4 linked regions of the Drosophila melanogaster genome follow. The protein of the gene in region 4 interacts with the protein of the main gene of each other region in a pairwise test. Each region holds a gene or a part of one and is shown on either strand. Other genes may lie near its edges.

Region 1 (6,980 bases), on a different chromosome or scaffold from region 4:
TAGAAGGAGGAGCCACAGGTGGTTTTATATATCAGAGAAACAAACACCTTTGCGAATTCATAAATCCGCGATCCAATCACCTGTTGCGTCTTGATAATCTCTCTTTGGCTCTGTATTATTTTCTTATAGCCCGAGACGCTAATTCAATTGACACTCTTTCGGGCCTCGCTGGGTTGCCATAAAAACTGGATGGAAAACTTTTCCAAGCTTATTTAGTTTGGCATTTCATTGAGACGGAACCGCACAGACACAGGCACACACGCACCGGATTTGTTTATTAATTTTATTATTTATTTTTTATGGCATTCGAAACTGAATTTTAAAACTTGATACCGCTGCGATATGCGATTCTCCACTGCGGATATGCGAAATATCCACCGCGCTGGCCAACGCTCGACGGCAAAATGCGCGAATGAATCGCACGGATAGCAAGCCCAAGCAGTTGGGATTCGGGCTCGGGATTTCCGAATCGGGTAACCCAACTGGGGGACTTCGGGAAAAGTGGACGAGCCCCCGAGCTGCGGACTGCGAGCTGCGGACGCCTGTTGAGTGCTTGGAAAAGCGCGGAGAGTTGCAGTTCTACGGCTTGGCCTCCGTCCGGATATAATCGTAAACGAAATATGCTGGCTCTTTTCTTTATAGCTATGATTTGTGGCTGTCGCCGAGATTCCGCTCGCTATTTCTGGCCGCCGTTTGTGAACGTTCTTTACACTTTCAATGGCACTCAAATATAATTGAGACGTAAACCGCGATGGGCAATATGTATTTTCTTAGACGGACCAATAAAGAATCGACGGGTCTGCCAATCAATCGGCATCCGCTCATTGATATTGATGGCCCAGCTGGTTGATCCTTGGCTTCGGAGGGGTACTACTTTTCGATGCGGATGTGCCCAAGAGCACGCAACCCCCGAAATAATCGTTTGGCCAAAATCAATTTGTGCCATTGTGCTGCTTTATGGGCTGTCATCCCGGTATAGAACCAGAAGCCCCCATAAAACCCCCATCGATCCATCGGCTTGTTAGCAGTTCATCAAAATTGTTTGCCGCATATTAATTGCCCGATGTTGGGGCTGCTACTGTGTCAAGCGGAGTGCGATCGTATTGCTCGAGCATCGGGTATTATTAATGCCCCCATACTACAATATCATATCGGACCATCACCATCGACTGGGAATATCGTTTTATTGACATTTACGTGCACGTGACTGGCCTGCGAAGATGTTTGCCTTCTGTCTAGCGAATAGTCACTGCTTTAGATGTGCAAACAAAATCGCGATGCTTGCTGCAGCCAATCCGGCGTATACGTAATGAACTGAGCAGCACTCTTTTTGCCCGGATCTGTAAGTTTTAGAACCATATCTATGGGTCCACGTGCTGGCAATTTGCACGCCCATTTTGGGTTTTACAAGGAGATTTGAATGCAATCGATTCGGAGCGTAGTCAGCTCGCACAATTTATGACCGCACTTTAATTGCTTTTGAATTTTAAGAAATATTTAAATTGTGCGAGAGACAGGGAAGTGCGAGTGACAGAGACAGCGGGAGAGCTTCACCACAGCCGTTGGTAAGCTTACGGTAAAACTTCGAAAGGTTTGTGTCTCAGCTAATGCTTAACGCTTTAAATGATTATTTAATCTTTAACATGGATAATTTCCTTGTAAAAATAAAACGATTATTTTGGATGGAAAATGAGAAAAACTAGTTGATCAAAATAATCCATGTTTCCAAGTGGTTTTTTCAATATTTCTTGACTGAAAATGGTCGTAAAGTAAAAATAATTACTGTTTTGTGCAGCTAATTACCAATGCTTACGATCCCTGTCCCGTTTTTTCGAATTAAGAAAAAAAAATTTTTTTGTCAATTTTCGAATTTTTATAAGGGGTAACATCATCAAATTTTGCAAAAAATCGCAAAAATTTAAAGTTTCCAAATTTGAACACTAATCGATTGGGAAGTTAATTAGGAGTAAAATAAGATATGCCACTCCACTTTTGAACCATTATTTTCAAAGTTGTGTCCAAAAAACGCATTATTTTTTAACCAAAAACAGGGAAATCGAGCTTGGACCAAAAAGTCATATTTACAATTTATAGGATTTATAATTATAGAATTTTTTGAATGCCTATCAAATGGGACTTAACCAGCACTATCAACAGCTCATTAATAAAAACAACAGATCAGCAAAACAAACTCAGTTCTCAAACTTTTTAGCAGAGCGGGCAAACGGCTCAGATCCATATGTTGGCCACTCGTATCCATTCGGTCTCGGTTATGTAGAGCCGCAGAAATGCGATATGGGGAACCCCTCCCCACCAAAAATTGCAGGCACATTCAATGAATTCCACAGTCAGTCGGAAAAATGGTGGGGGGGGGGGGTATGGAAAATGCATGGGTGCTAAACGTTTAATAATTGTCGTTGCCCACATGTACACTGCAAAGAATTGTACACTCAAAAATAATCCTATTTTCGTTATGTACGTTTAAACTGCGTTCTTTCAGTGGATCTCTCTATATATAAAGACATTACAGATAATTAAATTGTGAGATATTAAGCACAGAAAGGTTGACTGCATTTCTCATTGTGTATAAGAACAGAGAGCTGATCTCCCCACTGCACTCGGAGTATCCAGTTACTCGCCGGGCTTCAAACTATCCGAGTTCCCGCGTTCTTGCCAATGTGAATTTTGTTTACCAGCCATATCCATATCTTATTTAAATATGAACATTTCTGCCGCCCCACAACCGAGCAGTAGACACATTTTAATTAATAAGCACTGCCAGACGAGACGGCTTCTGTTCTCGGGCTCTGAATTCTGGGTTCTGGTTCTGGTTCCTCGTCTGGTTCTGGTCACAAAGTAGTCAGTCTTCAGCGCAGCTCGATAGCGAAAGATGTTTGCCGGGAGCGGCGGTCTCAGTGCCACCGATCCATCTAATCCAAGGTCGCGGGAATAGGACTGCTCTACTGTGTCGTTTGGCGCCATGTGCTGCTGGTGTGCACGTGTCTACTGGACGGTTCTGCACAATCTCCTGGCTCGCATGATGGACAGCCTGATGGAAGTCAGATCGCCCACCTTCTGTAGCTGCTGCTTCGGTTATCAGCGGCAGGCCAGTCAGGAAGGTGACGTCGCAGAACGGGTTTCCAGCACCGACGACGATCCACAACAGCAGCCCCGTGAGGATTACGTCATTGTGGGTGAGTACGCATCGATCTCTCGGTTTCAAAACAAAGCCAAATCCCCAGAGTGACGGCATATAAACCAAAACAGAAAGCACGATACAGTTCGTAGAGCTAAATTTAACTCGAATTTAAGTTTAAATGATCGAAATTTGATAAATAATAGATAACTACAGAGGCATAAATTAATGTAGAGTAATACTCAATTAGAAGATTAAGCGGTAAATAGGTCCAATTACTAATACAACATTTTTAATTCCGCAAAGACGATGCCGATGTCAACTACGCGGAGATTGAGGAGAGGCATGTGGAAAAGGAGCAGTACTACTTCACAGTGGATCGTCCTACGGCGGAGCGAATGCTCCATGGACGAGAGGACGGGTCCTGCCTGGTTCGACCTTTCAAGGCAGCCGACCAGTGGATCCGTTACATAGTGAGCATCTGGGCGGCGGATCAGTACTATCACCTGTTCATAAGGCAAGTGGATAGGAGACAACGCTATGCCATTGGTCAGAAGAAGTCTCAGGAGCGCTGCTTCGGATCCCCCTCGGAAATCGTGGAGTTCTACACGGAGCATCCACTTCTCTGCACCAACAAGGTCCGGAGCCAGTGCGTCCAACTCCGTCCCATCAGTTACGCTTAGCTAGGGGTCAAATCTTTATTGCATAAGAGAGGGCAAGTATGTACAAATGGGGTTAGCTTAAGACGATGCTCAGGTGGCCACCACCGCCTTGAAGGCGCACTGGTTGTTCTGCATCAGGGCGGGCCAGAGGAAGGCTTTTATCAGATCCGATCGCCGGTCCGCCTGGGGATGCCGCTCGTGTTTCTCGGGCCTCAGGAAACCTGCATGGGATTTACGTAGGTGTAAGATTGTTAAACGATTAAAGAGTAGCTTAAAACCCACCCAGGTTGAAGTCCATGTCCAGGTAGTACGGCGCCTTCTGGTTGATCATCCTCCAGGCCAGTCGGACACAGGCACTGACGTAGTGCGTCAACGGGGGGCAGGACTCCAGGCAGGGGTACTCGTGCAGAGTAGATAGCACCTGGTTGAACACCGACCGCTCGATCTCGCCCAACGGGAAACTCTCGGCGGTCTCGAAGAGGTGCTGGCGAACGGATCTGTCCAGGGACAAGGTGGTCTCACTGCTGCTGTCCAAGGGGCAATTCAGGACTCGCCGAACTTCCAGGACCTTTCGCTCCCGCATTCCGTGGCACAGGCGGAAGGAGAGCTACACAAGTACCAATAAGTTAAGAAAATTATCAATTAGATGACTATCTAATTAGACTTACTTATGAATGAATAAATAGTTTTTCGAAAATCATAAATATGTGACTTATTATTATCAACTAATCTTGATGGTACCATTTCCCTGCAAAAGTGTCGTTCATCTGAGATCGAAAGTGATTCAAATCCCAAGCGCCTACGTAATTTTCTGACACCCTGGGGGCTCCACTTTCCCTCACATTTTCACTGCACCAACGCCTAATCATCCTCTAGTGCGAATTCGATCTTGCAAAATTGATATTTTGCAATCGCAGTTTGTGGTCCGACAGGATTTAAAGCATCCAGAGCCCACGGGCTTGGCTGGAAATAATTGATGGCCAAGCACTTGAAAATTGAAAGTAATCTTCGCTGGATGAATTGGTCTCACAGTTTGAGAGTCATTGTGCTGTGCTAAATTTCCAAACGAAAGCAGTGCAAGCAGTTCGTACGCTGAGCTACTTCAAGATCAAGTTTATCAGCTTTTGACCTGCCAAATGCCAATTGGAAGAGTTCGTCCCAATTTTAAAACAATCGCTATTTTTTCACTTTTGACAAGGGCTTTATTCTATTTGAATAGCCTTAAGAATTGTATAGAAAAATATCTATTAGCATTGTAAAGTTAAAGTGTTATTGACATGGAATTGGCACGCTGAAAGATTATGAACGCCCATAATAAATTGAGGCTATTCATCACAAATAACTCCGTACTGTCTTGACAAGTGAAAACGAAGGAGATAATTATAAAAGTAAAACTATGTTGCTAGCGATTTATATTCCAAAGACAAGTGAATGATTGACTGGCAATAATTTCTCCTCATGATTTAATCTCAAATTCTTTCTCAGCCACCTAAAGTTTAGCAACGAAATTAAATACAACGTAATACAAATAATGGTAGCGAACACACCCAATAGAAAACTTACTTATCTCCCAAAAAAAAAAAAGTGAAAACAAGGCCGACTCGCAATTGGCACTAATTTCTCCCGATCGAGGTAATCTCGAAATACGTTCGGCCTCTTTAACAATCCATTATTGAGTGTTCGGACATATCTACTGTATCTACAATCTACAACCCATCCCAAAACACATACGAATGCTAGGTACTTCAGACTCACCACGATCATGGAGAAGAGTATCTTCCCCTTGAGGCTGTGCGCGTGTTTTATCTGGGGAAGACTGTCCAACGCCTCCAAGGCGTCCGCTCGGTTCTCGACGTAGAGATTCCGATAGAGCGACACCATTTCGCTGTGGAGATAGAGAAATGGAATCACAAATCAGAGTGTGGGATGCGGGCAGGTGAGAGTTGGATGCGGTCGCGATCTGATTTGACTGAGTTTGTAATGTGGGTGTTGCACCTTATTGGAACTCGGTCAAGTGTAAGAATTAGGTTTTGTATGTATTCTTTATGTATGTTTTTTACCTGCTGTCATCGCTTCCAGAGTCGTCCGAGTGATATCCATCGCTGCAGCTGCTCGTGCTAGCGCCGCCTGGGGGAGTGGTCTTTCCAATGGAGTGGGAGGAGCCCGGAGGACCTCCTTCAGGGCCCATCATGTGGAGCACCACCTCGCAGCCGCGGGAGAAGTTCATCAGCAGACCGGCGGCAGGGCGTTTCTCCACGAGCGCCTGTGCGTCCAGACGACGCACCTGACCCACGCAGGTGAGCACCTCCTTGTCGTTCTCCACCCGCGTGCTGAGGTTCTCGACCAGGGTTTGGAGCTGCTTGAGAGCCGGCTTGTCTAGCATTGTGAGCAGGGTCTTGTTGTCGATCAGTCGCTGCTGAATATCCCCATAATTGATGGCCAACAATCGTTGATGGGAGGAGTGAGCAGGGTCTTGGTTGACAGTCACCATGCTCAGCTCCTCCAGCTTGTGAATGGCCATCTTGTAGGTATCCACATGGCGTTGCAGCTCGGTTTTCAGGGCTACATGTAGGGAAATAAGCTGACCCGAGGCATCGGTGGTCAGTCCATGGACCCCAAGACCTTGTACAGCGTTATCAAAACTGCGTCTTCTTTCCCTCAAAGTCTGCCGGAGCCCTGGTTCGTACTGAGCCAAGGCCTGCAGGAGTCGAGTGCATCTCTGCCGGAGTCCTGATTCATGGGGATTAGCGAACAGACGCACCAACTGCCAGGCCACCGTTTCACTAGGCACATCTGGCTTGGGAGTGGTGTTCAGGGTGGTCAATCTGTGGGAAAATTAAAAAAAAATAGTAACGTTTGATATAAAACGAAATATTTTTAGAAGACTCACAATATTCAACTTTAATAATAACTCACCTGGTAAAGAAAGACTCCAGAAGGTAGGCACTGTGAGGCAGGTGCTCCAGCAGCAGGTCCAGCGGAAGCTCAGCGATCACTGATCTGAGAACCGAGGGACCCAGTCTGCCCACCACGCCAGCAGCCTCCCTGTACTGTCTGCCCTCCGAGAGGAGCATCAGCCGACGAAGAACCTGACGCGGACTGGTCAGGAACTCGCGACCATCCCTGGAGGGTCCACGAATCCGTTCCCTGCTGTCCGCCATCGATGCGGCGCCAAAGGACAG
Region 2 (8,262 bases), on a different chromosome or scaffold from region 4:
CTCACTGCTCGGCAAAACCATGGCCAGACATTCCGCAGGACGTTCTCCACACATTACATTGACAGTTCTTGTTTATGGCCCGTTAACGGGGCGTATGCGTCATCTGCAAAGTCGGGGGATTATGTGCGACTTCTTTAAAACGCGCTGCGCAACAAAGCAAAGTTCAACTTTTTATATGTGTGCCAATAAAAATCCAATTGAAAACGCAAATAAGCCAATAATTTGTCGTTCTTTTTTTTTGTCCCGCAGCAGCGGAAAAATGTACAAAAAAAAAATTGTCTGTGGTCACGTTTGATTTGTTTTGGTAAATGGGCCAAATGAGGTTTATGCTTTTTTAACTTTGTGCTGAGGAAAGCGATTTTCTTTACCGGGAATTTCACATAAATTCAGACCAACCTTTTCTGGAAATGCTGAACTCCAGGGTGGATTAATAACGTCATTTAAAATAGTATTTTTATGATAGTTATAGTTAACTAGCTATAGGTAATATATAGGTAATTTGATTTAAATTGGTTATCACAGAAAGTTTTCAGGGGCTTACAGTTGTAGTACAGGGTATTAAAAAGTCATCAGCTGCGCTTAAAGTTAATCTTCCCATAATTTTTTGGCCGCTCGCCTAATTTATGTGCTTTGCTTTCACTTTGCTGGCTTTCTTTCGTCGGCCAAGTTTTGTTTACGTCTGCTTAAAGTTGTCCACATTGGCTCTCAACCTTTTGCAATCGCCATAAATTATTGCCTTTATCCAGTGGCCCATCTTGGTTTAATTGTTTTGCAATAATTGAATTCATTGAATTCATCCGACAAATTGCTCTTGGCAACCCGCTGCTACTGTGTGTGCATATGAAACATTCACTTTTTGCACCCAATGTGCTATCAATGAGTTTACATTTGCCATTTAAACGCATCTGTCGATATCAAGGAGAAAATATTTCCAAATGAGTGCGGACAGTTCCCACAAATACACAAATACACTATCCATGGAATATGTTGCCAAATTTGTTGAGTTTCAATACACAATTTTATTGTGAATGGTCGATTTTGATATCTTAATCATTTAAAGTCTAGAGATGAATAAATGATTGCTGATTTCAAGCTTTGCCATAATCGTATCTGTAAGCTGTTTTTGCAGAGTAAAAGAGTCTTAGCATCGTCAAATTTCCATTTGCATACTTTGCTTTTATTTATGTTGGAGCACATAAATATTTATCCACAGATTCGGCCCGACTGACAATCCCGCCCACATATCACAGCACTTATCACATCCGCCTGCTTTTGGGCATGTGTGTGCCATAAATCGGGGGATTACGATCGTGGGAAGGGGGGTTTGGACCCATGGCAGTTTATTGAATCGGAATTCACAAAAATTCAATCTGCATGTAATTTGGCATTATAGACAGACCCTTCCCATTCCGCCATGCGGAAGGAGCAGCCAGTCTGACCCCCGATGAATGGGTTATCAAAATGTTGACCCGCCGATGGTCATTTGATGATGGGCAGCTGTAAGGAGATTAAACATTTTGTGATTTAATGTAAGCCCAGTGCTGTCCATAATTCGCTGCACGAGCTGTCCCAAACAAAAGACTCTTCAGCTGGACACCGACTCCTCCACCGCTTGCCCGAATGTGTCAAAGATTTTTTATTCGCCGCTTGGCGATATGTGGGTTTCTACGAGTTAACGGGGTCATCGACCACGTCGGGCGGATACACCTCTAATCCCCCCGCAATCAACGTGCAAAAAAGTCCACCAAAGTCCACAAAGAGACTTGAGCAGCCAACAAAAAAAAATATGGCAAAAAATGTAGTTCCAGGGGGCACCCGGATTTGAACCGGGGACCTCTCGATCTGCAGTCGAATGCTCTACCCCTGAGCTATACCCCCGACTTGAAAATGGCGAACTCAGAGCGCCTTTTAAAGTTCCCTGATGCGATAAAATTTCGCCTTTGCATTTATCTTAAAATAGAAATGAAATCAATTTGGAACAGAGTGACTGTTCCGCGAAACTGTGGGTGTGATTCACACGACGAATCTCCGGCAACTTGCAATCTTATCTGCGAGTAATGTGCCCCACCAACTCCCCGAACTTTCTCCTTTCGCCCGCCCCCTCCCCCAAAAGCAAACTGATAGCTAGCTGCAGACGGACGGACTGACAGATGTTTTTGTCATCCGAAAATAGCTGGTAACTCGAGCCAAGAAACTGAAACTTTCTCGGTCGCAGATATGCAGGTCACAGACGTCAGCATTGATATTGAACTTTTGGGCCACTTTGGCAAGTGTTTCGCAGCGACCTCTGAACTTTGCCTGCCAAGGGGTGAAACTTGCTACTCTGTCGGATGCACAAGAGCGATCGATGAGTGACAGAAGCTATTTCGCAACTTGAACCCATTTTATTGAACGGACTTGAGTGACTAATTAGCTGCCTATAAATGGCTATAATAGCACAAAGTTATACTCAGAAAATAAGAGCAATAAAAGGAGTAGAAGTGATTAATTAGACAGGCATAGATTGCCATAATAGAACAAACTGTTATCAAGACAATTAAAGTAAAAACCAGGGGAGTTAAATTTGATTTGGATGGCTTAGGAAGAATCGTGTAATCTAGATAGAGGGAAGGGGTTAAGTTTGCATTTCATTTCCGCATCGCTTTCCGCATTGCTTAGAAACCGAGCGGGCTTAGAGGTCTGGCCGACTTCCGGCGTGGGCCAGACGTGCTGGCTGGGTGGTAGCCACTCCAGACAGACACTTGTTCCCCCCCGTGTCAAGCAACCAACGACCTTGCCGCAACACGCTCCACATGCTGGCTGCATAAGTCGTTGGGTATTATATATAAATGCAGGTCTACCATCGCTCAGACAGTTTTATGTTCTGGCCAACGTGGTGAATCGAGTGCAGAAGCTCTGTTTGTGGAAAGCGCAGAAAGAAACGCCGAAAAATGTCGCAGCTGCAACTGCTGCTCCTCGTCGCTTCGGCCTCCGTGGTCCTCGCGGGATACAGCTCCTCCACCGACGAGTCGACGGACGCCTCCAACTCCATTGGCGGCACCAAGTGCGACAAGAACCCGCTGAACGAACTGACCTTCCAGCTCAGCGGCAGCAGCCTCCACTGGCCCTGCGAGTCCACCAAGAACATCTACGTCCAGTCCGGCCGCTATGTGCCCCGTAACGTGATCGTGACCCGGGCCCAACTGCAGCGGGACTCCGCCTTCGTGGCGCTGCCCAGGTACAAGCAGGGCGTGCCCTTCACTCTCGGCAAGGTCAATCTAAAGAAGGGCGAGTGCCTGACCAAGATCGCACCCTATCCCTGCTGGGCCATTCAGGAGGAGGGCAACTGCCAGGCGCTGCAGTCCGTCGTGGACATAGCCGTCGATCAGAATGTGAGTGCAATTAACGCCAGTATTGTTTGGACCATTTTTTTTTTGGGGGTCAGACAAGTTGTCTCGTCCAAACTGCCAGTTCTGCCTTTAATTACGGACTGCTCGTTGTTGGCCACCATGGAGGCATAGCACTTTAACCCACACCAAATGTTTAATTCATATTTGTATCGTGGGTGGATTACAGGGTAGCATTGAAATGCTCTTAGGGCTATTCACTTTTTTTTTCTAAAAATGATTTAGTTTATCTTCTGATATTGATATTGATGTGCAGTCGCAGTGTTAAATATTTGCTAGCCCTTACAAAGTCGATCAAAATCGGGAGTTTAGCTCCAGGGTATCGTTTTCGCATTAACCCCTTGCCGGACGCACTTTTTTAATTGGTTAGCCTCGCTGTCGACCAAATATTACTTTTTTAATCAAATAAACGGGGCCACAAAAGTGAAGAGCTCCAAATAAAATTCATGCCCGTCAATTGGCGGCAGCAATTTAAGGGTAGAATAAACGGATACGGAAACGCCGAAAAAGCTGTGGGGTAAATGGAATATTATAAAGGACAAGGACTGCAGCTGAAAAGTGACAAGCAAATGCAGTGAAAAGTTCTCGAAAATAATTTTGGAAATGCTGGGAACAGGCCATCCAGCCGTGTTTTGTGCATTTCGATTGCACTTCAGAAGTTCTCAGCTTTAATTTTAAATGACAGATGCATTCGCAGATATTACAATGATGCTATTAAATATTTACATGACCTACTTACGATTGCGAGCATAAGCTGCAACTTAATAATTTCCTTCAATTATTGTTGGCGTCGAATCGTTCTCATTTAAATGCCATTCCCGTTTAGCTGCATTTATGCAAATCATTTCTTTATTTTATTTACACAAAAGTCGACGAAACAATAACAAACGGCAAACAAACGAGGCGACTGTATTTATTTATTTGCGCAATTTTCCATTCAGTGCTTTTCGCTGATACTCATTTTATGGCCACATATTTGCGAATGTGGAATTTTTAACGCCGCCAACATTTCAATTAGCCGCCAAATGAAAACATTAACAACAATCAACACGAGCTGCAATTGATAGCAATTAATAATTGCCTTCTCCGTTCGCAGGGACTTCTGTGGGCCTTGGACGTGGGCATTGTCAACACCCTGGAGCAGCCCATCCGCAGATGCAGTCCCAAGATCGTGGCCATAAACACGGCCAACCACAAGGTGGTCAAGAGCATCGACCTCAGCGACCTGGTCACCTCCGAGAGTCGGCTGCAGTTCATCGTGGTCGACTACTCCAAGGACAACAAGCCATTCGTGTGAGTTCCATTGCCTATACTCTTTTATTACCCTTAACTTCATCTGTGAAATGAGTTGTACTTAATCACTTTTTGAAATACATCAACTATGAAATTAATACCACACATTACATTATTATTAACCATTATTACTAACCATTATTTATCAGCACAATGATATTCAGAGATTCATATTGCAGTCATAAAATATTCGTTGAAATCATCGAACTGAATCAAGAGTTTGGAGTACTTTTACCACACACTTTCAATCATGCTTTCAATCAGCGATCATTGAGCCAATCAAAAGGGCATTAGCCACTTTGAGGCTCATATCTTATCTGCTCAAGGTAGTTCTCAGAAGTGTGGCTCATCATATACCAAATAAAATCGATTTGTATTGCATACATGATATCTAATCTCATTCCACATTATATTTCCTTCACTTTCAACCATAGCTATGTGGCCGATGCTGGAGCACGTAGTATCCTGGTATACGACATCACCGGCAACAAGTCCTACCGCATCGTCCTGCCGAAGGCCACCGCCCCCACCAGCGATGTGCTGTACGTGGCGCTCACCTCGAAGCCGGACGGCACCTCCACCCTGTTCTTCAGCTACCTGAGCTCCCCCCGTCTGTACTCCATCAAGGGCGAGTACCTGCGCGTTGGCCAGGGAGCGGGCTCCATCATCGACGTGGGCCCCAAGCCCTATGGCAAACAGGCGGTGCTGCTGGGCGCCGACGGCGGCACCTCGCTCTTCTTCCGCTACAAGGGCGAGAACGACATTTACCTGTGGGACTCGGAGACCTGCTTCAAGGCCGCCAATCTGCAGGAGGTGCAGCGGGGAGGCGACTGCCGGCTGTCCACCCAAGTGCTCCCGGGTCACAAGCGATTCATGTGGGCGCTGGAGAGCAACTTCCACGATTTCATCTCGGATCGCACGGGCTGCAACGGAGCCTCGATCGTCCTGCATCCTGTGGTGCGGGAATGTGACGATTGAGTCCGTATCCCTCCACTTTCTTAGGCTTAAGATTCAAACTGATTTGTTGTCGTTACTGGGTCTCATTAAAATTTTGGTGAATATTTATAGTTATTTGTAGTTTATCTTAAAATGTTCAGAATGATTTCAATTTTTTAAATAGGCATTTACTTGAATCAATATTGGTACCATGAAAACAATTCATTACTCTGACTCTGATTGGCACTTTCGAGTCTCAGCATTGAAATACTGTCCCATTGGACAGCTGTAGATCTGCAGCTGGTGATCGATGCATATGCAGTACTCATCCTTGGTGGAGACATTGGGACAGCTGAGGATCTCAAAGTCCGAGCACTGATAGATCCTATCAGTCACGCAGGTCAGGATCTTAGGATCAATTTGGAAGCCGGCGGGACAGGTCATCACCTCCAGTTCTCCATCGACGCACTTGCAGTACTCGATCTCAGAGGTTCGGAAGGGGCATTGGTACCTATCGTTGTTCATGCACGTGTGGGACTCCATCGCCTGAATGCTCCTCATGCTCCTGGTGTCGGGCACACAGCTGTAGCTGTTGAAAACGAATCCCTCGTGGCACTTCATCATCAGCGGATACAGCGAATTGGCCGTGTCATTGACGCAGACGTAGAAGTACCGATTGTCGGGCGCCCATCCACCCACTTGTCCCGACCGACTGCAGGTGAACTGCTCCTGGATGCACTGCTCACTCTCCCGTGGCAGAACACAAGTGCCCGTGAGTGTGGAGTAGCCCGCTCCGTTGGAGCAGATGCGAGGGGTGTCCACACTCTGATCGCTGCACTCGTGGTACCGCCTACAGTCGTACGGATCCGGGAACAGGCCCGCCTGCTGACAGCTGAAGGGACCTCTCTTGGGCACCTGGCACTGCGACTGGAAGGTGCATCCGAAGGTACCCTCGTCGCTGCAATAGAAATTGTACTCCGATTGGCAGCCCAGCATCGAAATCGTTTCCCAGCTGCCGGTGGCATCGCGGATGCAGTAGCCCAAGGTGGTGCAGTTCATGCAAACGAAGCCGGGAATGCGCACATCCTGGCAGGGATTATCATTAGCCCACGCCGATCCCAACGCCAGAGCGAGCAGGATTAGACAAACCGGTACTGAAGACCTCATCTTGAAGACTGTTGGCTGGGTCATCTGCGGGACTAGCTTTTATAGCACCACCTAATCAGCCAGGCAAGTGTCTTTTTCTTAATTAAACAGATAAGCTTCTCTAGGTATTATCGATTTGATAAAGAACCAAAATTTTACGACGTAATAATAAATTTAGAAAACTTACTAAGCGTAGCTAAAATTGTAATTATTCGAAGAGTATCATCGAAACTGCGAACTGATAAATCCGGAATTCATTGAAAATAGTTTAATCAGTTTTAATCAGTTTTATTCCAAGATAGGCTAGCTACAATAACTATAATATGTTGGGTCAACAAGTTCCAGTAACGCACGCAAAGGAAATTAGATTGAAGATGGTTCCTACCGAGCATCTGAAATACTCAATATCACTGCCCTTTTCGCGACAATGATAGTACCCAGAGCAGTCAGCGGGATCACCAAACAATCCAAGCCGCTGGCACTTTCCAGACGAACTGGGCAACTCGTCGTCATCAGATCCTGTGTTCAGGCAAATCTGCAGCTCGTCATCAAAGGTAAAGCCCGTTGGACAGTAGTTAAGATGCCATTTGCCATCGATGCAGAGGCAGAAGACATCGCTTGCCGTGCTGTTAGGACATGGGGATGGAGTATAATCGTCCTGGCACTCAACGCTTCCCACCCGGCAGACCAATCGGTTGGCATCGAAGTAGGTTCCTTCAGGGCATTTCCAGATCTGAAGGTGCTTATCTTTGCACACGCAAAACTCGTCCATTTCTGTGGCCATCGGACATTTGCCGATTTGGTGATTGGTACAGCTGGTAGTGTCTGTAGATACGCAGGCTTGGATAGTTTCGTTAAAGTAGTAATCATCTGGACAGGATTCAGCAGCTGCATCCAATCTGAGCTCCAGATAACTGCCGTTCCCCAACCCTTTTCCCGTTTGAAACAACAGAAAAGTTAGGAGGCAGATAATCAGGCGAGATGAATCCATGTTGCAAACTTTCTAAGTAGACCTCTTCACACTCCGCCTTATATAGTACCTCACAACCAAACGCAGAATGTTTCGGTATAATTAATAGATAAACTGCAATGTTGTCACGAAAAAAACATTCTATGGAACATTTATGACCTAGTCACAGCACTCTTAGCAAGAAAGAACCAAGACAGTACTAGTCCATTTCTATTGCACTTTTATTGGAAAAAAACAAAGAACTCATTCTGGTTTAATTACCCACGGACATGGTGGTTGAATCTTTATTATCAAACTGATACCTTTTGAAATGGGAATTCATAAATTCATGTCAAATAGATTGTTATTCCAGGGTAAACATGAGTTGTTTATTAAATGTAATCCATTGAAGAGGAATAAATAAAGTGCAGGAATGCATCTTCCTCAGCAGCTTCCCAGGACGCAGGAGGATAGCTCCGGTCGGTAGTAAGTCCCATTGGGGCAGTCCATGTGCCGCAGGGTGCCATTTAGAGCCGAGCAGTAGTAGTACTT
Region 3 (9,026 bases), on a different chromosome or scaffold from region 4:
TGCGAAGTAAATATTTTCACTAGCCACCTAGAAGTATGCAACGATATTTTGTCTTTGTCACGAACTCTCAAAAGCTGATTGCTGTTGATAATGGTAATGGTGGCGATGCCATGCTGCACTTGCTCCCAAATTCCTGTGGCACATGCAGCACATGGCAGACACCCACAAATTGCTGCCATAGTTCTTCGAGTTGCTTCGCTTTTTCATTTCGCCCAGCATGCTCCGTGCTCCGTTGGCTCATTGACCTGTGAATTCGTGGTAAGTTTAGAGCGAGAAAAGTAGCAGGAAATCTCTGCATTTTCCTGGTCGATTTTCCTTTTGCCTTCGGCCCACCTGAGGCTGCTTGAACGGCGATGGCAGTCAAGTGCAAGTGATTGCTGGAAAAAATTACGTACTTGGGCATTGTTTGCCTGCCAAATTGATTTCATCTGCTCAGCATTCCGGAGATGATCGGCCTGGCAATTGTTCAAGTGATTCCGAGGGAAATAGGTAAATTAAATACATACATATATTTTATGGTATAACAAGGATTTATACCAGAACCGATTAGCTTATAGCTATATTATAAGTAGATTGATGGGCACCTCTTAGATTAACCGGTTTACCTAAATTAAACCATTTTAAAGAGCTTTATCCTTTCAAATACATTTACCTATATATTACATGCTACTACAGAAAAGTAGTTTTCCACGTCAATTGAAATTTATTTATATTTGAGTTTAAGCCGGTTGAATTCCCCAATCAGCCATAAAATACCTTCACTGGTAGCACACACATATGTTGTAGTGCAGAATAATCCCCACGAACTGTGTGTAGGATTCTTTTGCAATTGTGCAAGCAGTTCTTTTTATGTTCCTACTCTCCACCACTTGCAAGTGTATTTGCAAGCGATTGATTTGCCCAGAAGCTGCTAGATATAGGCAACGATAAAGTTTTATGTTTATTGGTAGCACCGCAGCTAACTGGAATTGGTTATCCAACGTCCTTGGCAGTTGAACAAACTAATTGGCAACGGGAACCGGCGGCAAAGTGCGTGGAACGGTGCGTATACGTAATAAAGCTTAATTACACTAGAGTCAACACAGAAGTCCAACGTTTACCGACTCGGGTTCTCTTTTGTGACTATATAGCTTCAACTGGGTACGTCTGGATAGGATTGTCTGACACAGTTTTACTACACAGCCGTAAATATTTCATCAATGCGGTGGAGAAGCAAAAAGTTTTTCAATTAGCATGCCAAGCGAAAATTTCAACTAATTAAAGGTCATTTTGTGGGTGGAAATCCACAACAGCGCACAAAGTTTTGACCCCAAAAAAATGTTGTTGCGTTTTTTTACTATTTTGGCAAAACAAAATTTATGACCATGGTAAAACAGACTGGAAAAAAAGAATGAGAGAAAAAGTACATTTTCCGATTTGCACGGTTCGATGGAAAGATAAAAAGGTTGTAAAACGAAGTCGAGTTCCAACGAAAATGTGTCAAGTTGTAAAAGTCGAAAGCATATGAATGCCTTACATTCTAGGGAAACCAGTGAAATGAAATGCCAACCGGAAACGGAAGCGTGCATAAACAGTTTTAATTATGTCCTGTTGCTGTTAGCAAATGAAGTGGCAACATGCGATGCGGAGAATTCACCGAACACCTCGGGAATTATGACATCAACACTCGGATGCCATCATCGTCATTGTCCAGAAAGCTCAGAATGTGTCCTTGCCACTAGCAACCTTATTTGGTAGTGAAATTGGTCTGGTTCTGATTTCGTTTTTATTCTACCTTTCCCTGTGCAACAGGCTGCGATTTTATGGCCCACGGCCAGCGAAAAGTAGTGAAACTACGCTTCTCCAAAGGATAATTGCAATTGGCGCTAATTCGAAATTCCGCTGGGAGTTGCAGGAGTGGATTACTTCGACTTAGCTCTTTTAATAAAGTTGCTACAATTGAAACTTTTAACATTCCACAAGTTTTGTCTTGCGTTGTTTGCTTGAATTAGATTTTTATTAGTTGTTTTTCTAGAGAAAGGGCCCCAATTATCTGATAAGCTTATGGTTTGGTTAAAAAAACAAGTAAATATTCCTTAAAGATCCACTGAAGCTTTAAAGATTGCTTTTAAACTGCTGCAAAGTGAGTGCCTGAAGGCAATTCCCCAACCACCTGCAGCCACGCGACTATTCCTTTATTATCCACCAGAAACACAAGCGGCACCATTAGCTAACCCTTTTGGTGGGCTTTTGGGGCCAGGGTCGCGACCTACACCAATCACGGTCTGCATTGTTTATGATAAATGGAAACGCTTGCCAGCTGCTCTGCCCCGCGGGAGATATGAAAGAGCTGAGATTCGGTTTCAGTTTCGGATACGGGGTGGAGTGGGGCGTTTCTGGTGGCGATGCGGTTTCCTGTATGTGAGGACAACCGTGAGCTGGCGATAAATGTGCGCCCACGCCCGGGATGTCGTCCTGTGGCCATGCGACGAGGTCAGGGAAAAGAATAGGGAAGCCGCATTGCAGGAACGCCGATGAGTTTTCGCTCTTGGATGCCACTAATTGCTGCGCTTTGTTGCTGCCACCCAATCTCCTCTGGGCATCTACCCCCCACCACCCTCCTGCATCCTTTTCATTCAGTTCGTTTTCCCACGTTTTCGCTGCACTCCAGGCACTCATATTCTAGCAGAATCTCGCTGGAGCTGCAAAACTACTCATTTCGCGCTTTTTTTTATGAATACATAATTTAATTTGAGCTTCAGTGGCAAACTACGAACTGAAGTTATTAAAAGGATAGTGTTGTTATAATTTGAAAGGCACTTAAAAAGTTTCATCGAATATGAAAAGTAGCAAGCATTTCAATTACAAATACCTTTCACCACTTTTCTTAACTTAATAAGAACATTTTTGTGATGCATAACTTTAAAGAAAATCATTGCAAATTAAGAGGAACAGTTTCTCCCTGTGCATATGGCTATCCAATATTTTCTATTTACTCAGTTATTTTTTGAAATAAAACTTTATTATTCAAATTTTTTCGCCATGATATCTTATTGGCTTTGGTGTTGAGCCGCGGTGCAGAGGCCAAAAGTGTTTGGCCACAAGGAAATTGCATTTTTTCCGTCGCGTTGCTGCTGTTCCTTTGACGAGTAGTTGCCATCTTTGGTTTGGGCTGGTGCATTTCGCATTTTGCAATTTAAATAAATTTTCCTTTGCTGCCATGTGGGGCGGCCAAGACGTTATTACTGTCGGAATCAGGAGCCACTCAAGCGACGCACCCACGCAGGCAAAAGGGATCCCAGGACGAAGGACGCAGGACGAGCAGCTTCGCTTCGTTTCGTTTCGTTTCGATTCGGATCGGTCCAAAAACGATGACGTAGTCGTCGTCCTTTTGCTGGCAATTGCCTTCGCCAAGTTGGCCAGCAATTTCAGTTTGCCTTTGGCCAACGGCAGCGACAGAACCTCCCGAACGTCTTGGAGCGGAAAATTCGAGAAAATCACAGCGCGCGAGTGCCAGAAAATATTTGAAAAATCTGCCAACGAAAAGGGAATAAATCAAAGAAAGGAAATTATTGTGTGAATCATGCCGGGAATCCTATTGCCACTGGCGCTATTGGCCCTCGTTTCAAATGGTGTGTGTGTGTTGCCTGCGGTTATTGGGCTTGTAAATTCAGAAATTCCTAAAATGATAAAATGTACAAATGTATATTGCATATCCCACAGGCGCAGCCATCAGGTGTTATGTCTGCGATTCCAGTGATAATCCCAGTTGCGCCGATCTGGGCTCGAATTCCAGCATAGTGGCGGAGGTGAGTTGGAAAGCAGATTGCTAGGATTGATTGATTACTGGCCTGTTGTGACCTGTTGGCGGGCCACTGGGTTGCCAGGTCAAGTTGGTTCAACCTTTTCAAACCTAATCGCATTCAAATCGACCTTAGTTCTTAGTCAAAAGCTTTGGCCCAGACGGTCGCAAGTTAAAGCTATATGGCACATAAATTTGCACTAGCAAAATACAAAAAAAAATAGTACAAAGCAACGGTTGGAAATGGAGCCCACAAAAGCGGAAACGGAAACGTGCTCCGTCGTCGTCCTCTTGTGGTGGCAACCCACTTTTCCCCTTTTTTTCAGGCTAACTGAATTTTCTGTTACTGGCATCTATCGCCGTTTTTAGTTGACTGCTACTTAACCCGGCCACGTGCCAAACAGTTGAAATACTTTCAACTTTCAACCAAAGTCCAACAACGTAAATTTCAAGCTGACAGGTTCTTGTAGGTGTCTAGTTGCCCGTTGGTAGAATTACTTTGATTTGAAGTGGCGACACCTGAGCTCAACTGGCTTATAATGCTACCAAAACTACTGCCAAGCACTTTAATTAAAACCATTAAAAAATAAATATCAAGAGAACATAGTTTCAAAGCTTTTGGGATATGAAAAAGAAGTTTCCAGACTCTTAAGTGGTCTAGAATTTTCTTCTGCTTAGTTAAACGTTTTTGACATCGGAAAATAACTTTTTTTATTCTTTTCTTAAGTTAATGAATCACTAAATCAAGTTGGTAAAACTACAACTGTTAATTGATTTATTTCCACAAAAACAATAACTTTCCTAGAACATCGAAAAAAAACTCAGTGTCAAACTCGCTGAAAGTCCCGTGCGACTTTCTTATCATTGCTGGAAATGATAGCCAAATTTGTTTTTAGAGACGTCAAGTAAATTCTTAAAATTTATTTCATTTGTCAAATCAGAGATGTGAATAATCAGCCACAAAACAGCCAAATGGCGCAAAATGTTCTGATTATTAATGGCCTGAATTATTAATTACGGAAATCTTATCTTGTATTGTGAGCGAAACTCAATTTTGTGTCAAAATAAATAATTCAAAATCAAATTAGATGCGCCAAAATAATCCCCTCAATTTATGTGTCTGATCGTATTGAAGATTTTAAATCGCAAAAAGAACAACAAATGTGACAATGTCATTTAGTTATTCCTATTAAATGGAGCACTTAAGGTGTTTATCCACTTTATCGCTGAAAACTTAAATGGGGTTTTCCCCTTTCTCGGTAAAAAAAAGCTGATACCTTAACGCCTAAGCCTTTCCAAGAATCGTTTTATTTCACTTCTTATCTGGGCTAAACAAATAGAGTTCAAGTGGTCTTGGTCTGGATACCAAGGCCATTCGGAAAACGCATCGTTAACGATATGGCCGAATGATTCGTCGATAAGATTAATAACTTACGCATCGAGTGCAATGGCAATTAATACTTTGATTAACCAAACAATAGGCATTCGTTGTTCCCCGGATTAAATTGCTGATAATATTTTTTAGGAATGCACTTTGGACAAAATGAAATCGCTGGACACCTGGCTATTTGACTTGAATAAGTTCTCATATTTCGATAATGGCGCCAACAAAAGTCCGCTCATGAATTGCCAAAAAGTTGTGGCCAAAGACCGTGAGTATTTTTTTAGGAAGTATAAAATATCAAATATATTCAAATATAATTTAATATTTTTAACATAGATTTAAATTCACTTGAGTAATGGTATCACATTTTTACAGCAACTTGACTCATTCTTATGGCTAATAAGCGATTCTTATCAAATGGTTAGAAATAAAGCTGCAATTTGCAGTGCGACTATTGTAGAATGTCAATAAAAGAAGCCCTAAAGATAACGAAAAATTTTATAGTTCACATGACACAGATTGTTTATTCAAAGCACTTACTTTTTATGACAATAGCAATTAAGTTTATTTGTTACATTCCTTTGGCAATATTAAGGATTCTAAAACATCAATACTTAAATTAAATTACGAGAACTTTACTTGTACTACAGTCATTTTAATTTATGAGCAAATCACTTGAATTTTCAATTAAGATTTTAACCTTTTAAATATAGTTGTATATATAGATGTATTGTATATAAATATTTAAATCAAGTGAATTTAAGTAAACCCAACTAAGTTGAGCTAGTTCTTAAATTTCGATATCTTGCTATTTTTCGCAGCTGATACAAGGAAAGTGGTGACGGCGCGCTTCTGCCAACTGGACACCGGCGACTCGGATGCCTGCGAGATCCTGCGTACCAAGCTTCGCATCCCGAGCCCCGAGGAGCGGGAGCAGCGGAATCGCAACCAAAACAAGCGAAGGAAGGGTCACGGCCAGGATGCGGAGGAGGATGACGAAATCTCCGCAGAGGATGCGTTCTTCTGCGGCATCTGTAAATCGCATCGCTGCAATGGTGCGGCGGCCGTAACGCTTTCCTTGGCTACGATTCTGGCCATGATTGCGCTCCAATTGGGCTGCTAAGCCAGTTGGATGGTGTGTGAGGGATATGGACAGATAACCGTGAAACGAGTGGTGGCATGATGGTTGCATTTAGGTTTTGATTACTTTGTAAATATTTGAGTGCAATGTCGCTGATTCGTACAGGTTGCTTCAATGGCACACACTACTTAACCCCATTAACCCCCTACTCCCTTAACCCTAGAAATGTAAGCACAGCACAGACACACACACGATACACCGATACAGTACATACAAGAGGAAGGAAAACACACACGGAAAAGTTCGCTTTGATTCAAAACAAATATGAAACTTTCGATTTTCAAAATAAATACCGGCAAAATAAAGAGTAGGGATATGTGTTAACCATACATCCTATATATCAATATAAAAATGGCATTCTATGCCATTAGCTCTTGTTGTTCAGCTTTATTATGTTACTATTCAGATTGTTAGTTTTAATGGCTTGGAGCGATGTGCATAGGAATTCACCAATTGCCTTTAATTCTCATATAATTTCTTAGGTAAATTGAAAAGTGCTAAATGATTCCAAAGTGCTTATATGTCCTAGTCAATGAATTCGTGTTAGAATATTGAAAATTTGATAGTACGTAAATTGACTGTAAAAGCCGCAAGCAAAAACAATCAACTTAATGCAAGACGCGAATTTAGGAATCACGTGAAACAAATGCAATAAATGTTAGTAAATGTGCAATTAGATGAAAATGTCAACGAAAAGCAATGCAACAATTATTACGTGAGCTTCAAATCGGCTAAAAACAAACAACAACTATATAGTACCATATGTTTTTTGCGACGCGTCGAGCTCTCAGTTCTGCTTAGTTTGTAAGCGTTTTTTGAAATGGAAACTAAATTGAACATTCCGAGCACACAATAAATGCTGTATGACAGTATAAAAGATTTTGGAGTGCGAATTTTTTAATAGCCGATAACGATGACTTTTATAACAGTCTTGGCATCAAGATAAAGGGTATCTGGGTTACTGGAGCTTGGAAAAAAGTATCAATGCAATAAAAAGTATATTCAATTCATAACAAGAATATTGATTGCCATGAAATTATTGTATTATATTTATTTTTATATTTGTTTGTTGCGTTAGGCCAACAGAGCGTATGCGCGATATTCGTAATACCTCTTACTTTCTAACTTACTTTCTATCTTTTCAACGGTATCCAACTCTTCGAGTGACAAAAAAAAAACTCCCAGCCCATATCAAATATTTTGTTTTTGTTGTCTTTTGCTCCTTTTTGGACTTGTGCTCCGCAATCAAAGATAATTTTCCCATTACTCATGTAAAAGATGCTTCAGTTTTTCCCGCCTCCTACGCCCGCTTATCAATAGCTCGACCTCTGTCGCTCCATCATGCTTTCCCTGTCTCTCGCATTTAATTTGAAAGTCTGGGCCGATGCTATCGTATGTCGTATGTAGTTTTTTTTTCCTGCTTCCCGTGAACTACATGTTTCACCAGCCCCGCAAATCATGTGTCAACCCCCCACAAGTCCACCAAACCCACATTTATGGCTATGAAATTCAGTTTTTGATGAAGCAAACAGCAGACTCCGGAAGGTTCTTTGTGCCAGTTCAATTTGAATTTTCGGTAGCTGACACGACGACGTTGGAGCGGTGAAAAAATAAATAAATTTATAGAAAATATATCCATAGAAGGCTGCTCAATCTGGGCAAGTTGCATGCTCTGACACTTTGACGTTTGGCAAATTGAAAGTTTTAAACTCCCCATTCACCACCCCATCATAAACCTGCCCGGAATGCGCTCCTTGTGGCTTCTACTTCTAGTGGCTTTCGTTGGCTGCGGCCCATGTGTTTCAGGTATGTCATAAATCATCGAGTGGTGTAAGCCCTACACCGTATGCTAATTGATTGACCCCGAAGCGAGTTACAAAAAGTTGCGCATACGCAACGTTGAACCAAACAGAGGGGTGCGCTTATTGCTTGGGTAATCCAGCTGATAAGGTGAAGCTGATAAGGCGCACCCTCACGGGTGCCCTTTTAAGGTCATAGGTTCATGTTTCCTTTTGTGAATTTCCACTGTGAATTAAACCTTATTTTGCATTTCATATTATGCATATAGTTATGTTATTGGCATAAAACTAACAAAAATATTAAAATGATTTAAAGATCCATATTAAAGATGATATTATGAGCAAGGTGGCATATTTTTATTTTTACTTAATATTTATTTAAAATCTCTTCTTTGCCCAGCTTTGCGTTGCTACAAATGTGAAGACTGCGATGAAAATACGCAGCTAAGTGAAATGGAAGTGTGTGAGAGTCCACTGATGGGCGGCAACTCCAGCACGAAACCAAATCCTGCTCCTTCTCCATCACCAGCTGAAACGAATAATACAAATAGTGCTCCTGGCTCCTTCTCCTCCTCCGATGCCAGCGAAGAGGAAGAGGACTCTGAAAGCGAAGAATCGGCGACCATAGGCATCATGCCAGCAGGATCCGGAACAGCTGCTGTAGGCGGAGGAGCAGCTGGAGGAGCAACCGGAGGAGCAGCTGGAGGAGCAGATGGATCAGCAGCGGAAGAAGTTGTAAGCGAAGAGGAGGAAGAGGACGAAGATGAGGAGGATGAGGAGCGACGCAGGCGGAGATCGAATGCACGACAGGTCGATCTCGATGTGCCAATTGCCTTCTGTTACACAGTGAGGCTCCAACGTAAGCAACTGCCGCCCATTCCCATGGGTGTGCATCATAAAAATCATAAAAACGCCGCCTGG
Region 4 (7,790 bases):
TTAAATAGAAGACATTTTTCAAAGTTGGCGCTTAATATCCAAACAGCTGTTTCAACGCCAGCGCTTGGCACTTATCGATAACCTATTTCAATCGATTCCAATTGGCATTCTTCTAATTGAAGAATTAAGTAAATAATGGATATATCCGCGCCACCAAACAAACGTGCTCGAAAATCACCCAATCTGGATGAAGACATAACTGGGATCCGGGCCATCCTCTCCGATGAGTTCGACGAGGATATTGCGCTCATCAAGGCGCACAGTTGCGAGTTGGAGACGAAACAGCAGCTCCAGGCGGTCATCCAGGAGCTCTCACAGAAATTGCCCCACTTTCAACACCTAAAGCGCGTCCAGGATCGCAGCGTGCTCATATGTCCCAGCTCAGAGATCGGAGTGTCTCAAAGCCTGGAACAACACCTTGAACAGTTTGCCTTTTCGGAGCACGTGCTCCGTGCTTTGTGCCAGGGAGTCCGGGTGGTGGAGGTGCCGGAACGGATGCCCCGACTGCGGGTGCAGTACGAGAAGACCCTTAAGCACTGGCCCTGCAAGTTTCACCCTAATCACTACTCGGAGTCACTGAGGAATGGCAGCAACTTTAGCTCCGCACAACGCACATTTCACAAAAGGATCGGGCAATTGCTTGTGAGGCTCTCGCGGGATGTCAATGCCAATCGTCCGGTGGGCATCTGCGTGGATCCGCGACAACCCAGCATTGTGTCCATTGCTGGAACTGGTGAAGTTTGTAGGCCGCACGAGCACTGCTGCATGATGCTCGTCGATTTTGTGGCTCGCAGTCAAGAAGGAGGCGCCACAAAAACGGAGGTTACATTCACCGAAGATTTCAAGAAGGATACCACTCTGCGGGGTATTCCTAAAGCCTACTACGATTACCTGATGAACAATGAAGACTACAAAGACCTGACATTCGGAGCGGAAAAGTCGAGAGAATGCAAAGAAGTGGACGCAGTTCAAGGAGCAGATAACCTGGCCAAATTCGGACCCTATCTGTGCACCGGCTACGATATCTATCTGCTGCAGGAACCCTGCCTTATGTGCTCCATGGCCCTGGTACATAGCAGGGCGAAAAGAGTATTTTTCGTTAAGAACTCTGAAAACGGAGCTCTAGCCACGAGATTCCAACTGCATTCGGTGCGGGAACTCAACCATCACTACGAAGTGTTCCAGTTCACAACCAAGGAGGATGAAGACTTGACGTAACGTTTAACAAACCTTGGTTTTAATAAAGGATTTATAGGATATCTTCGATTTTCGGCGTTGTTTTGGCCGTCGACTGGCGGGTGGGCGTGGACAGGAGACCCAGCAAATGGCAATCTGCCTCTAGAATGGTAATATCCTTGGACGAACCCAGAAACTTGGTGGACAACTCCAAGTCCTTGATGCGCAGTCGAACACGGGCTCCTCGCACATAGTCGCTGAAGTAGGAAAGGCGGTTTATTGGATAAAGAGACAGGAAATTATATTGAACTCACCTGGCATTGCGTGTTGGACGACTGCAGACGCAGTGAAACTTCCAACCAAAGTCTATGTAGAGATCATCGCCCACCACATGAAAGATCTTGCCACTGACCACCTTGCCCTCGGCGTTGTCCAGCTGCTCCAGAAATCAACAAGTTATTACATAAACAATGGGATTACTTAAATAATGTACCCACATCAATTAATTTGGAGTTGCGCAGCAGGGAGGCGAAGGTCTGGTTGTCTTCCGGCAGCTGTGGAGGCGTGGCTGGTGCCGTGTACTTGTCGAAGGCACGGGCGAATCCTCCCTTGCTGCTGCCAATCTCCGCCGTTTCCGTATTCACTGCGGGAGTAGATTCCTCCGCCGGTTTTTCTGTGTTACCGCTGATAAGTCGAATGACCATTGGCATTCGGGAACGACAGGTTAATGAAGCCATCGGTACACCAGATCTGCTTAGTTTTTGCAAGAGCGACATGGTTTTAATTTAATATTGCTCAAAAATATCCACAAGAAAACCAAAACCAAGTGGAAAACCAAAGAAGAAGAGCGGCACCGATAGACTGCTAATCGATTATTAGCAGCTGCGTCGGCTCATCACTAATCGAATATTACAAAAAACACGCTGCCGGCATTTATTTTGATATTACGAAATCGGTTGTAAGACGTAGGTAATTAACAATTAAACAAGCAAAATGATCCAGCAACAGCGCCAGAAAATCGAGGCCGCGGTAACGGAGATGATCGACGACATGGACAAGACGCACCTGCGCAAAATGCAGGTAAGTGGAGTTCGCTTTAGGGGATATCCCGAAACTGACTTGCTTTTCACGAAATTCCAGAATGAGATGCACTTGTGTGCGGCCAAGTGCTGCCAGGATGGAACCTCCAGCGTGGACAGTGTCCAGAGATGTGTGGATCGATGCTCCGCGCCCATGACGAGGGCACAGAACTACGTTCAACACGAATTGGGCGAGTTCCAGGGCAGACTTCAACGTTGCGTCATGGTTAGTATCCATTGCACCAACTTTTTGCCCTGGTGGCTCTAAGAATAATAGAATATTATTAGGCAACGCTCATATTTCACATTCTCCTCTTCCGCAGCAATGCAACGACGATGTGAAGGTGAAAATGCCGCCCAGTCCCAATGAGGATCAGATAGCCAAGTACACCGACCAATTCGAGCGCTGTGCCATCCAGTGTGTGGACAAGCATGTGGGCCTCATTCCCGGCATGATGAAGACCATGAAGGCTGTGCTCTCCAAGGGACCCGAGAGCATTCCCCAAGTCTAACTCAACCTGCATTTACTACATAATTAGTTGTTGAATTCGTTTATTTTAAAACCGTGCAATGAGTCCCATCTCTGGAGTCATTTCAAATTTTGCTTTTAAGAATATAGAACAAAAATTACCTTATTAATTGTTGAAAGTCTTAAGCAGCAACCAACAACTGTTGTGCTAACAATCTTCGGAAGAATGTCAAGTTTTGCCATCAGTAAAAAAAATAAACATACTTTGTACACCGAAAACTGTCAATTCAACATTTTGTTTTGTTCTTTCGAAATTGTTCAAATTTTAAATTGAAATGGTGGAGCAACAAAAAAAGCGCTTGGAGGGCGCCATTAGCGAAATGATCGAGGACATGTACCGCACCCACTTGCGCAGAATGCAGGTGAGTGTGTGGCCTCCACTTGCCTACTATGAATTTCTGGTAAGAACGTTGTTTCCAAGTCCACGATGCACCGCTGTGCCGCCCGCTGCTGCGACGATGATCGAGGGACGCTGGAGAGCGTACAGAACTGCATCGAGAAGTGCGCCGGTCCCCTGATGGATGCCCAGGATTTCCTGCAGCACGAGCTGGGCCAATTCCAGAATAGACTTCAAAACTGCGTTAGGGTAGGAGCTTAAACTATAATTATAAATGCTTAATATTGGATTGATATATCCTATTTTTAATACGATTGCCAACCCGCAGGATTGCAACAGCGATGCGCGGTCTCAGATGCCCAGCAATCCGAGTGACCGGGACATGTCCCGATCCCAGCACATGTTTGAGAGTTGCACGAACAACTGTGTGGACAAGTACATAAACCTGATACCTGGTCTGCTCAAGTCGATCAAGCAAACACTGGACAGGGGTCCGCCGAAAAGATCACGCAACATGGATGTCTAACCGGGATGCAATTCAGGATCTGGTGACATTTAAAAAAGCACATTCAAGCAGTTGTCAATGGTTCACTTATTTATTGAATATTTTTGGTACAGCTAACACTTAAAGTACACTAATCGCTGCTGTGATCCGGGATAGCCAATGGATTGGAATGGGAACTTATCAGCGCCAACGTGGCCCTTGCTCGCCATGTTTGATAGCTCAGCTCCCGGATCTTCTTAGGCCCTAGCTCATTAAATATCTAGTAATAAAGATTCTTAGTATTATGCAACAATACGAGAGGCTATATTTTTAGGATCTTGATGGATCTACTGCTCGTTCTGCTTCGTCCTCACGCCGTATTTGCTCCAGAAGGTGACCTTGGCGGTGGTCTTCTTCAGGTTGTCCTGGAACACGGAGCACGTGTCGAAGGGTGGACAGTATAGGTGAAGGGAGACAGAGGTATCCGAATGGCTGGGGTTCTCCACGCGATGCAGACCCAGATTGTCTATGGATAACAAAACGAAAAAAAAAAAAACAGTAAGTATAGGAATACCCCACTTTTAAAGTTTCTAATTTTCTCACCATTTATGTAGGCCACATCATTGACGGCGATTGGTGTCTCCCCAATCTCCACCAGCTCTCGGCTATCGATCTCGCCATCGGGATGATGGGACCGGCCGTTGTCCCTGGCAGATCTATTGGGATACTCGTAGCGCTTCTCGCGCAGATCACCCTTCAGCATCTTCATGAAGCAATGGGAATCGGCATGGTCGTGCACCGAGGAGCCGTGTCCTTCGCCCCAGCACAGAATCAGCAGATTGAACTTTCCATTGCCAGCATCCACGAGATTCCGCGTGTAGGTGTAACGATCGAACTTGGCATATTTGCGCCACTCCCGCGGATTGGACTTGTAGCTGAGCATAAGGTGATTCACCATCTCGATGTTAACATAGTTCGACTCGAATTCCCGGTGAAGGGCGGCCACCAAGTCCGATAGGGAATTCACCTCCGGTCCGTATTTCAGGGGTTTCTCCAGCGGCTGATAGTAGCTAGTGGCCTGACGCAGGTACTTCTCCTGGTCAACCTGCTCGATCTCGGTGTCGATCTTGGACAGGGCCATTTTGGGCTTGCTCTGATTGACCTAGGTTGCGAAAAGGGAAGCGGAAGTTAGAGTGGTGGTGCATCAGTTGAGGCTGAAGGGCGTGGAAAACTACCTATAAAGTCTATAAAGATCACTGCTCAATTGATTTAGATGAATTACGTTGTAAAGTCGATGATCGCTGATAATAGCTATTGGTATATATATATATGAATATTCCGATTCGTTGCTGTTACAATTGATTGAATTGCTTCGACTAACCGCACACGCTCCACCTCGGATCGCAAAATTCGAACTGAATTCTGGAGATTTCGCTCTCCTGTCCAGGCTGCATAATCAGCTCGGATCCGACGTAAATCGGAGGCGCAAGTCCAAAACAATAACAAAAACAAGAAGTCGCCGGCGATAACCGTCCATCCAACTTATCAATAGCAGATTTTACCAATACCCTCGGCTATATAATACACGTATTTCTCAGTAGATGATGATAGATCGAATGTTGCCAGGAGGGGCTCAACAGATGTGCCTGAATTTGAGACAAGAGGTTAACGGCGATCTAATGGGATCGTTTGGCAAATAAAAAACAAATTTATTCCACAATATACTCTGGAGCCGACAATAAAAAATATTTGGGCGATACGGGCATTGTCACTGATACGTTAATATACCAATTGATAACTGATAGCTGGTTGAATCTGGATGCTGACGAATTTGCTTTCAAGATCTGCGGGTCTTACCAGCCGGGATTTTCCCGCAAATTCATTTGAAAAAAAGAACCGCGACTTTCTCTAGTTTTGGATTATAGTTAACCGAAACACTTTGAGATACTTTTTGTTTCGAGAAAGTATTGCCTACTTTCAGGTTCGTTACAGATTTCTCTCAATTGCCTGCCATTTGTCAGCAGATCAGTCGTGTCTTTGTTACTCAGGAAGTTAATTAGTGACTAACACACTGACCTTACTTTCTCCATTAAAATGTTAAACAAAGAAAATGATTCTGTCATTGTTTCTCCTAACACGATATGAATTGAACTCATAAATTTAATTATATAACTTCAGGTGAAAACTCGAAATAAATAAAACACTTGAGCTTGCATTAAAGGTAATAACTTTTTTACGATCCCCATGCAATGTTGTTAAATCTTTTCCCCTTGGTGCCACATCAAGGTATTTGAAAAATGTTTTGCAATGGCCAAAAAGCATAAACTGCCAAGCTGGCAGCCAACTTTCGCAACAGGTTAAGGCCAATAGCAAAGTCAAAGCAAAAACTAAAAGCTGCGAACTGCCATTTGCGTAAATATTATGCGAACAAATAGCTTGGAAAATTGGTGAAAAGCAGTTGCCAATTTTCGAAACAGTTCAACAAACTACGATTTAAGTTTGATTTTCTGATTTTCGTACAATTTCAGCAGGGAAAGGGATTTGAAGGATAAAGGACTTACCATTTTGTTTGACTTCTTGGAATTTCTCTCTTAGCTATGGCAACTGAATAATTTTTTATGAACTTGAAATTCACTTTTTAAAAACACTTTTAATTTCAGGACTTGGTATTGCACTTTTTCGACTTTTCACTGGGTAGTTGCCACTTGGATGCGCGTCGCCGAGCTTATGTGCCCGTTTTGGGTATCTTTCACCAATTTATGAAGATCTTGGCCAGCAAACCCCGGTTAACCACTCAAAACGCAATTCGAGTGACAAAAGGCGACGCTGGCAGAGGCATCGCAGCTCGAATGGCATTTTGAGCACATTTTGAGCGCTTTTTGGGGCCGCGAGCCAAACTCAAAGCGGCTTCACTCGCTCCAAATTGGCTTGTTGTTGTTTGCTCAGTTGGCCAGGCCCGAAATTTATGCTACCACCACTACCACCACCGCCATGTCGATCCGAGGTTGAGCGGCCAGATATATTTCAATACATTTCTCCCCCAATCCAACTATTAATTATGGAGTCGTGCCGTTTTTTTTTTCTTCTTTCTCGGTCGATCTTCTTTCTTGTTTGTTTTTCTGGCCAAGAGAAATGGCCGGGAGCCTTTTGTCATAGCCAGTGGATGGAATTCTCTAGCTCCATTTTGGCCTGGGGTCAAAATGATGAAAGGCTTTATCATCAAATCGCTTGGAAACGCACACGAATTGTGTGTCAAGTACTTGTTGCCAATATTTGTTCAGCTCAAAACACTTGGCCTAAAACCACTTTGATAAATTAAAGTGGTAAATTTTCATACAACCATTTAATGAAAATTTAAACATTTTATATTCCTGGACTAAAAATATAGTTTTAACTTTACATATCTCTTTAAAGTATAACATTTGTGAGCGTATTTCTAGGATGTCATCTACTTTGACCGAGACATAATAAGCAAATTTACATATGCGATTAGTTCGTGGCTTTCTAACCAGGTTTATTCAACTTTGAACTATTCTTTTCGCATACCTGGCCCACTATGTAAATCATTTGCATATTCCCAAAACAATTTTATACGAACATTCATCTTTGTTTGCGTGTTTTCGCCTTGAATAATGCAGCTAATAACATATTCAATGACCGATCGGGAATTGAAAACAATATTTTGGTATTTGTCAACCACAAAAATGGGAATTCTCAGATCAGAATAATATTTTCGCCTATAAATGAGTGCTCTTATCAGCAGAAACACGTTTCGTACAAACAAACAAAGCTTAAAGGCTGCGACTTGTAAATTGGCGGAAATACATTTGTTCCCGTACTTAAGCACTTTTATTATAACAATTTTCAATAGTAAATTCACACTTTTATTATTACAATTTTCAATAGTAAATTCACATTTTTCTTATGCCTAATTTTCACATCAATTTCATTTGAATGATTCACAATTTGCTTAACGACTAGATAGAATAAAAGCATTGAAGTACACACATTTTTGGTATAGACATTGAACTATAAATGCTGCAGAAAATTAAAGCCACAATAAGCTGAATTTCATATTTAAGATATTTTGCTTTGAAGATAAAACTTGACCAATTTTGTGGAACCTAATCCTCGTCGCTATCGGACATGTCAAATTCTTCATCATCAAAATCGATAATCTGTGCA

Evidence for each region.
Region 1: the proteins of CG5327 (region 4) and CG15529 interact in a two-hybrid assay, tested with the Drosophila melanogaster proteins (one large-scale study listed by BioGRID).
Region 2: the proteins of CG5327 (region 4) and yellow-g interact in a two-hybrid assay, tested with the Drosophila melanogaster proteins (one large-scale study listed by BioGRID).
Region 3: the proteins of CG5327 (region 4) and witty interact in a two-hybrid assay, tested with the Drosophila melanogaster proteins (one large-scale study listed by BioGRID).

The regions. Positions count from the first base shown.
Region 1 is NT_033777.3:30,149,201-30,156,180, forward strand, and holds CG15529 (uncharacterized protein), read left to right. Parts: upstream 1-2,858; 5' UTR 2,859-2,980; coding exon 2,981-3,194; intron 3,195-3,442; coding exon 3,443-3,819; 3' UTR 3,820-3,888; coding exon of another isoform or gene 3,889-4,019; 3' UTR 4,020-4,080; coding exon of another isoform or gene 4,081-4,405; 3' UTR 4,406-4,499; downstream 4,500-6,980. Other genes in the region: CG11498 (uncharacterized protein), read right to left, coding at 3,889-4,019, 4,081-4,405, 5,554-5,683, 5,859-6,623, 6,715-6,980.
Region 2 is NT_037436.4:2,267,360-2,275,621, reverse strand, and holds yellow-g (yellow-g), read left to right. Parts: upstream 1-2,852; 5' UTR 2,853-2,930; coding exon 2,931-3,371; intron 3,372-4,482; coding exon 4,483-4,679; intron 4,680-5,113; coding exon 5,114-5,657; 3' UTR 5,658-5,741; downstream 5,742-8,262. Other genes in the region: CG32302 (uncharacterized protein), read right to left, coding at 5,841-6,782; obst-I (obstructor-I), read right to left, coding at 7,093-7,752; CG13806 (uncharacterized protein), read right to left, coding at 8,155-8,262.
Region 3 is NT_033779.5:8,334,878-8,343,903, forward strand, and holds witty (without maturity), read left to right. Parts: upstream 1-3,409; 5' UTR 3,410-3,562; coding exon 3,563-3,611; intron 3,612-3,702; coding exon 3,703-3,788; intron 3,789-5,306; coding exon 5,307-5,433; intron 5,434-5,986; coding exon 5,987-6,288; 3' UTR 6,289-7,179; downstream 7,180-9,026. Other genes in the region: CG14273 (uncharacterized protein), read left to right, coding at 8,052-8,112, 8,506-8,964.
Region 4 is NT_033778.4:18,612,992-18,620,781, forward strand, and holds CG5327 (uncharacterized protein), read left to right. Parts: upstream 1-2,996; 5' UTR 2,997-3,059; coding exon 3,060-3,146; intron 3,147-3,205; coding exon 3,206-3,370; intron 3,371-3,449; coding exon 3,450-3,647; 3' UTR 3,648-3,952; coding exon of another isoform or gene 3,953-4,131; 3' UTR 4,132-4,163; intron 4,164-4,208; coding exon of another isoform or gene 4,209-4,746; 3' UTR 4,747-5,326; downstream 5,327-7,790. Other genes in the region: CG10927 (uncharacterized protein), read left to right, coding at 136-1,218; mRpS28 (mitochondrial ribosomal protein S28), read right to left, coding at 1,250-1,433, 1,491-1,612, 1,674-1,952; CG5323 (uncharacterized protein), read left to right, coding at 2,170-2,256, 2,317-2,481, 2,579-2,767; CG5493 (uncharacterized protein), read right to left, coding at 3,953-4,131, 4,209-4,746; Atg7 (Autophagy-related 7), read right to left, coding at 7,730-7,783.